2 linked regions of the Canis lupus familiaris genome follow. The protein of the gene in region 2 purifies or fractionates together with the protein of the main gene of each other region. This does not show direct contact. Links are inferred from orthologs where the notes say so. Each region holds a gene or a part of one and is shown on either strand. Other genes may lie near its edges.

Region 1 (4,544 bases), on a different chromosome or scaffold from region 2:
AGGGTATTTAATACGAACTCAAGAGTTAACATTTACATTCTCACAAATCTTGCTAAAAATAATTTGTATTGGAAAACACGGAAATCTAAACTTTAACTCCCTAGATCTATGGGGCAGGTTCACACCTGACCACCTACTTAGCAAGCCATTATTTCTAAGCTCTATTTATCAAAGTGAAAGAGCTGTGCATTCTGATCAAATACTGAACAAAGTATTTTTATGCAAAATTACATATCTGACAGCCAAGGCCCATTTAGAGGTTTGCAATACTTCCTCATACTCAATTGCAACCCAACTGGGTAAAGTAGCAGTATTTACAGCGCTGCCATTGATACCATTCGCTGCTGAAGAAAGCTAGTAGCCCAGTGATAGCCCACTGCTGCTGCCCCAGGTCTTTGGAAGAAATCAACTTATGTTAAAGCAGCAGCTACTGAACTGGAATTGAGAACAAAAGAGCAGTTATTGAAAAAGTAATATTACAATCTTTTAGAATAGGGAATATACTTGTGTGCTAATGGGAAAAAATCATTAATACGTATTTAACTAGCCCAAATAGCTCACTTAATAAAATGCTACCAAAAAAATTAAATTACTTTATCGTAGGAGCCTAAAAGGACAAGTTACAGGTTGTCTTACAAGTTTCCATTAGCTAACTAAACCAAAAATTGCCATTAATTTTACATTCCTATAAATGAGAACTTTCTAATCATATAAAAAATAACACCAAATTGCTGGAGCCTATAAAATTATCAATACGACACAATTGATGCTGTATTAGACATTTAGCTACCAGAATCTGAATAAAACCTTTCGTCTCCCTCCTTTAAAAAAGGTAAACGGTTTACGCTAAGTATTCTGCATTTAAATTCAGCACACTGCGTTTAAGTTCTCTAACATTTTGGCACCAAAATCGCCACATTTAGTAACCGGGGGAGAAAAGGGAAGAAACAGCTTCACTTACAAGTATCAAGACAAACCACTGTGTCATCGAAGTGCTCATCTTCTTCTTCAACAGGTGGCTGAGGAGATTTGGCTCTGAAAGACAGAATTGTCTCCTGATTCAGCTTTTCCTACCCCAGAAAGAACGGGGACGGGTAAAACTAGATCGGCATCCTCTACCTGCTATACTTGTTCTCTTCAATGTACTCAAAATATCCACGGCCATGATCTTCTCGAGGTCTTTTCACCCCTCTCTTTTTATCTCCGCCCTTCTGCTCTGTTTTGCCGTCTCCTATAACACACAACACCCCTAACATAAGGGGCCAAGCCGCGACGCAACCGGGGAAAAAGAAAAAAAAATCCCCCCTCCTGTTTGGGGAACGCAAATACTCCTAACTCCCCCGTTCTTTTCTGCAAGCGATTTCAACCGACGAATCCAACGCGAATTCAAAGAACAATCAGCTTGGAACCGGCCAGGAGCTAGTGACGCAGTCTAAAGACATTCCTAATTTTGCCAGCCTCTTCGAAGATTCGAGAAAGCTCCCGGAGCCCAGGGCGGCCCCGGCCCCGAGCCCACGTGGATCCCGGAGAGAGTTCAGGAAGGGGGGAGGGGCCGCGCCGGCCCGCGCGCCCGCCCCTCCCCTCCTCCCCTCCCCCACCCGGGCCCGCGTTCCCCGCGGCCGCATTGTACTGATCTTCCGCCCCGCTCTCCCCGCCCGGCCCCTCCCGCCGGAAGTGACGTCACGCCGAGCCCCTGCGCTCCTTGCACAATACCGCGGCCCAGCGCCGCCAAAGCGCGCCCGCCCCGGGCCCTCGGGCCTCTCTTCTCCCCTCCCCCCCCCGAGACATGTGCCCGCACCGCGCGCACGCAGCGCAGCGGCGCCACCGCGGGCCGACCGGGCTCCCGCCCGCCGCCCGCGGCTCCTCCCCCTCCAGCGGCAGCTGCAGCTACCACCCCCACCCCCCGGCCCTCCAGCCACATAATGGAGGCGCCGCCGCCGTCGCACACGCCGAGCCCGAGGCCGCCGAGGCCTCGCGGCCGGGCGGGATTCCCCGCGCCCCCTCCCCCCCGCCTCCCCCGCGGCGGCCCCCGCCCCCTCCCCCCCGCGGGGCTCCGGCAGGCCTGGGGCACGGTCCCCACCCCGCGCGGGCCTCCCGCCGCGCGCAACGTACAACGCAGCACTCACCCGCCGCCGGAGCCCCGGGGCGACCGCCGCCTCCGCCGCCTTCCGCCTTCTTCTTACCTCCCGCCTGCTGCTGGCCCTGCCTCGCCCCGGGCGGCGCCACCGTCACCGCGAACAGCGAGGTGGGGCCGCTGCTCTTCCCCGCGGCCTCCTTGGCGGCCCCGCGCTGCTGTGGCGGCTGCTGTTGCGGCGTCGCCGGCGGTTGAGGCTGCTGCTCCCCGTGCCCGTTCTCGTCGCCCGCGCCTTCCTCCTCGTCGCCGAGCTCATCCTCCCCTTCCTGGAAGCCCTGATCGTCGCCGTTCTCGTCCTCCGAGGCGGCCTCCTCCTCCTCCATCGGGCCCGCGTCGGCCGCCCCCGCGGCCCCGTTCTCCTCTCCTAGCTCCATCTGGTCGCCATCCAGGGCGGCGATCCCTTCCTCCTCCTCTTCCTCCTCCTCCTCCTCCTCGTCGCCGCCGGCCGCGGCCTCCTGCTCGAGGCCTGCTCCCGAGCGCCCGGCGGAATCCCCGCCCAGGTCTAGGCTGCCGTTCCCGGGCTCCATGGCGGGGCGGCCCCCGGCCTCCTCGTCGTCCAGCGCGGCCTGGAGGCGCTCCATGAGCTCGGCCTTGAGGCCCTTGTCGGAAAGGCGCCGCTTCTTGAGCTCCTCTTTCAGCTCCGAGACCTTCAGCTTTTTTACATTAACAGGCGAGGAACTCATGGTGAGGGCCCCGATTCACCGCTAGGCGCTGGCTCAAACTCGGCTCCGCTCCCTCGGCCACTGGTGGCGGCTGCTGCGGCTGCTCCTCGGCCCGGGCGGCGGCTGCGGCTGCGGCTAGAGGTGGGTTCGTGCTGCAGAGCGGACCCGCCTGGTGTCGAACGGCGCCAATTCCTTTCACCGAGTTCGCGAGGGAGACGCGGAGACTCGCCTGGCGCGAGCGAGCACGCAACGTCCTCTCGCAGGGGCGGCGCCGCGCACGTAATATAGGCGCCCCGCCCCCTGCGCTGACGGGAGCTCCGCTGCGGGGGGGAGCGCGCCCGCGCCGCGGGGCCCCGCCCCCGCGCCCCGCCCCCGCCCCCGCCCGCCCGCCCGCCCTGCCCTCCCCGCCCCCACGCCCAACCCGCCGAGAGCGCGGCGCCGGCCGCGCAGTGCGCTTCCCGCGGGGCCGAGCTGGGGGAGGAGGGGGGCCGCCTTTCGGTTACAGCGATCCGCCGCAGCCGGGCGGCCTCCCGAGCTGGGTGCTGGCGGCCCTCGCCTCGCTCTCGGCCCCCGGGCGCGGGGCTGCTGCACCCAGAGCCCGGCGGCCCCGGCCCCGGCCCCGGCCCCGGCCCGGCGGCTTCCGCCCGAGCCCTCGGCCTTGCTTCCATCTTGGATGGGCCTGCCTCTTTCTCTCGCTCGCCAGCCCGCTGCTTAAAACGCCTCGAAATCTTATTTCCGTGTTGATGTGTACGGCACGGACGGGCAGGCCCTGCCCGCGGGGGGTGCCTTCCGTCTCGCATTTGGTGGAATGTTCCCAGGCCCTGCCCTGCGCCCTGGATTTTAGGCTCGGGAAGGGCGAGGACAGAGCATCCCTTTTGTCTCTTCCCCAGCCCGGATGGCAGGGCTGGTCCGGCCGCCCCGGGGCGGGAGAGCGGGGCGAGCCTCGGAGGGGCACGTCCGCCCGCCCAGACGGCCCCCCGCGAGCTCACGCCCCCGGATCGTGCCCTCCGCCGCCTCTCCCCCCCCCCCCCCCCGCAGGAACACCCCCCATAAGTCGTGCTGAAGCCAGTAAGAGCTCAGGACGAGTCAAAGGGCCGGGATTTTCTAAGAAAGAAAAAAGAGACAATCGGCTCCCGAAATCTGTTGTGTATTTGGGTGTGTTTTAGAAGTTTGATTTTTCCCTTTTCCCAAATAAAAGGCATGTTAGGTTCTTGAGGTTGCGCACAGGGGGCCAGCACTTAGATACGTGATAGAGGGGCGCATGCGACACCCCCAAGAAAGCCTGCACAGTGACTAGACAACGTCCCACTATCAGAGAGCTCAGTCCTACCCACTGTGTGGTGCTGGAGCTGGAGTAGTGCTGCCCCGAATGTTAACTTGAAACTGGAGCAATACTAGCAGAGGCCAGTATGATTTAACCGTTGAATGCATTTTATTTTTTCAAGTTTCTTCTCCATAGCTTCCAAGAACCATGTGTTTTACCACTCAGTCGTCATAAAGATGAAATACATCTGTGGAATGACAGTTGAAATTAACTAATGGAGTATGTACAGTACTGCTAATTCTCGGTGAAAGTCAGTGGAGGGGGAAGGCACCCAAAATAGGAACTTCCAAATAGTGCCAAAAACTCATTTGGCCTTTGGTTACGATGTCCTTGGAGCTTATAAACAACTCACAAACTGGAGTTTCAAATTCTTTGCAAAGAATGGGAAGAGAGCTACAGGGGCTTACAGGTTCACAAACTGGAT
Region 2 (3,700 bases):
ACAGAAGGAGAAAAAAACCTGTGGAGTAGTTCACACAACAGAGACAGAACATGGACTCAAATTTAAACCCTCTGTACAATATCCGGGCCTGAAACCCTTTGTACAATATCCAGGCCTGTGAGAAACAAGTGACTTACCTCGTCGCCCACCTCCACTTCCACCTCCTCTCATGAATTCAGGTCTTCTGGTAGCAAAGGACACTTTAATGATATTGCCATGGAATTCTTTTCCTAAGAAAAAAAGAGTTTTGAAGAAATGCTACTCCACATCTCCAACTCTCAATAAAATATAAAACTATCTTAGAAATTCTTAGTTTCAGAGCAGTAACACGTCCTCACAAAAATTCAAACACACCAGTGTTCCCTAAGGGTCAAAATAACAGTGCTAAAACATAATCTATTGAGTAAAGCAAATCTGTCACTTGGACGCAGTTACTTCTTACTAAGGAGAAAAAAAAGAAAAAAACCCACATCTAACATTTTTATATGAGAAGAGCCAAGTGCAGAACCATGTGTATAGTATGCTACCACTTCTGTTTTATAAAGGGGAATGAGTGTGTTGGTGAGCACAAGTGCCCTTACATGCACACATATGCTATATGTACATTGCCTATTATGCTCAACTCTCAGTAGGGAAAAACAGATCACTGGAGGTCAAAGGTAGAAAGCAAGCCCATTTTTTACTACACACTTCTGGTATAGTTTGAAACTTTTTTAACCATATACAAGTAGCATTTTTAAAAATAATACAGGCCCAAAAAATGAAAGCATATGTGATTGCTTACAAACACACACACACATATATATATATTCTGCCCCAGGGCCTTAGAGATAGTAATTAATCTTTTTACTTTATATTAAACCAGAAGATTCATAAAATGATTGCAATTCCAGAAGCCTCAGAATCCTGATCAAAGCCCTTATCATTATGGCTGGCAACTTTCCACAATATCAGACAGTATGACCTAGGAAGCCACTCAAGGATCAGTATTTTCAAAGCTACAGAATAACCTGAACTATGGAGTTAAGAGGCTCCCATGCCCTATGGGAAAAAAGCACAATTACTTTTAACATAATGAGCAAAAGAGATTGTGTTTTAATTCACCAAAACTATAGAAAACAAATGAGGAAAATGGACCACGTCTTAAAGAGCAAGGTGATAAGGCCTGACAAATTAATGCAAAAAAGTAAAGAATATGAAGATGACGACAGGAAGAGTATCACAATCTCATTTTTTAAGAAATAAAGAAATGCAATTATGTTTTGAAAGACATAGGTACAATCATCTCAGAACCAGAGGGACCTCAGGTATCTGTCAATTTCATCTAGTATGGTTAAGTCCTTTAGAGACTGTGGATCCAGACTGCCTGAGTTTAAATCCTGACTCTGCCAGTTATGCTATGACCTTGGAAAAAATTTTTTTAAAGATTTATTTATTTATTTATGATAGACACAGAGAGAGAGAGAGAGAGAGAGAGAGAGAGAGAGAGAGGCAGAGACACAGGAGGAGGGAGAAGCAGGCTCCATGCCAGGAGCCTGACGTGGGACTTGACCCCGGGACTGCAGGATCGCGCCCTGGGCCAAAGGCAGGCGCTAAACCACTGAGCCACCCAGGGATCCCTGACCCTGGAAATTATACAGCTTCTCTGTGTCTGTTTCAAAATCTAAAAATAGTAGTAATAGGGTGCATGTCTCATACAGTTATTTTGAGGACCAAACTGAATTAATGCATATAAAGTTTCTAGGACCATGTCTACACTATAAACCAGTAAACACGCAGTTGGTGTTGGTTCTAATTAGAGTATAAAACAATGAATTTCTAATAACATGGGGAAATGACTGTTAAAATGTTAAGTGAAAAAAAGATGAGACAAAACTACATTTGGAGTATAATGATAAACTATTTTTCTTAAATACTTTTAAAAGAATGGAAGGAAAAAAAATTTTTTTTAAATATTTTATTTATTCATGAAAGACACAGAGAGAGATAGAAACATAGGCAGAGGGTGAAGCAGGTTCCCTGCAAGGAGCCTGATGCAGGACTCAATCCTAGGACCCCCGGGATCACAACCTGAGCCAAAGGCAAACACTCAACCACTGAGCCACCCAAGATCCCCGTATTAAAAAATATTATAAAAAAAAAATATATATATATATATATATAAAATCAATGATTATCTCTAAGTAGAGGATTACAGATGCTTTACTGCTTTCTTCTACTTTCCCATATTTTCCTGTTTTGGGGGAAAAAAGTCTTAACATTTCTTCCAAATATGTATTAACTTTATATTTGAAGAGATATTAATCTAAATTTACAAAGAAGAGAGTTAAGCAGGTCAACCCTCTAAATTTCCATCAGGGTGGCTTCAAGCACAAGGTAGAGTAATAAGGAAATACTGGAGAGGGGATCCCTGGGTGGCGCAGCGTTTTGGTGCCTGCCTTTGGCCCAGGGCATGATCCTAGAGACCCGGGATCGAATCCCACATCAGGCTCCCGGTGCATGGAGCCTGCTTCTCCCTCTGCCTGTGTCTCTGCCTCTCTCTCTCTCTCTCTCTCTCTCTGTGTGACTATCATAAATAAATAAAAATTTAAAAAAAAAAAAAAAAGGAAATACTGGAGACAAACAATGAGAGAGCTCTTCTACCTCATTTCTAAAGATATGTAAAAACTCTGGTCTTCATTTTTTTTTCTAATGTTTTTTTTTTTTTTTAATTTTTATTTATTTATGATAGTCACAGAGAGAGAGAGAGGCAGAGACACAGGCAGAGGGAGAAGCAGGCTCCATGCACCGGGAGCCTGACGTGGGATTCGATCCCGGGTCTCCAGGATCGCGCCCTGGGCCAAAGGCAGGCGCCAAACCGCTGCGCCACCCAGGGATCCCTGGTTTTTATTTTTAATAAAAAATATCCACAAAAGTAAACATGAAAACAACCAGTTACTAGAATATATTTTGACTTCAAGACTAGAAAACATTTAACCAAACTGCATATTGAAACTATATGAATAAGATATACCATCAAACCAGTCAATGGCTGCCTTAGCTGAAGGAGGATCATCAAATGACACTGTTGCCTCTCCTTTTGGCTTCCCTGTGTCCTTGTCTGTATACAGATTTATCATTGGTTTTCCTGTCTTCTTATTTGTCTGAAGAAACAAAAAGCTGGTATCAGCATTTTAAGAAAAAGTAATCATAAACCACACAATTAAAGATTTTTTTTTAAAGGAATTCACATATCCATACTACAAATCTATGTACCTAATATAAAAATGAAGTTTTCTATTGGTTCTGAAAAGGAAAACTTAAGTAAAACCCAAGCTATGAAAATGATACAATGTTTTATCTATGTATAATTTCTTGAAACTCACAAAAAAAATGTAGATAATGCTTCATGTAAAAATGTACCTTGTAAAACATAAAAAAGTCAGGAAGAATGTACACCAGGCAAATTAATAGATTACCACTAAGGTATACAAACTGCAGCTGGCTGGGATGGGAGTGGAAGACAAAGAATGTTTACTCTTCAGAATTGCGTAAATTTTTTACATCATGTGGTAATACATTTCTAAAGAAATTTTAACTCCCCAAAAATGGGGTGAAAAAATGAGTAATTCCACAGACACCAAAACAAGGACAACTACAAACTGATTTCAGGCAATGCTACAATCTACCCAACACTACTTTAACTGCTGCTTTCTAGTTG

The links.
Region 1: the proteins of TAF15 (region 2) and HNRNPU purify together in Homo sapiens (affinity purification with mass spectrometry; 3 studies listed by BioGRID, with this or other methods). This does not show direct contact. The link is inferred for Canis lupus familiaris from reciprocal best matches to the Homo sapiens genes TAF15 and HNRNPU.

The regions. Positions count from the first base shown.
Region 1 is NC_049228.1:35,785,347-35,789,890, forward strand, and holds the start of HNRNPU (heterogeneous nuclear ribonucleoprotein U), read right to left. Parts: upstream 3,057-4,544; 5' UTR 2,818-3,056; coding exon 2,127-2,817; intron 1,232-2,126; coding exon 1,120-1,231; intron 1,036-1,119; coding exon 962-1,035; intron 1-961. UniProt on the Homo sapiens protein: DNA- and RNA-binding protein involved in several cellular processes such as nuclear chromatin organization, telomere-length regulation, transcription, mRNA alternative splicing and stability, Xist-mediated transcriptional silencing and mitotic cell progression.
Region 2 is NC_049230.1:37,813,343-37,817,042, forward strand, and holds part of TAF15 (TATA-binding protein-associated factor 2N), read right to left. Parts: intron 3,144-3,700; coding exon 3,014-3,143; intron 231-3,013; coding exon 138-230; intron 1-137. UniProt on the Homo sapiens protein: RNA and ssDNA-binding protein that may play specific roles during transcription initiation at distinct promoters. Binds to ssRNA containing the consensus sequence 5'-AGGUAA-3'. Can enter the preinitiation complex together with the RNA polymerase II (Pol II).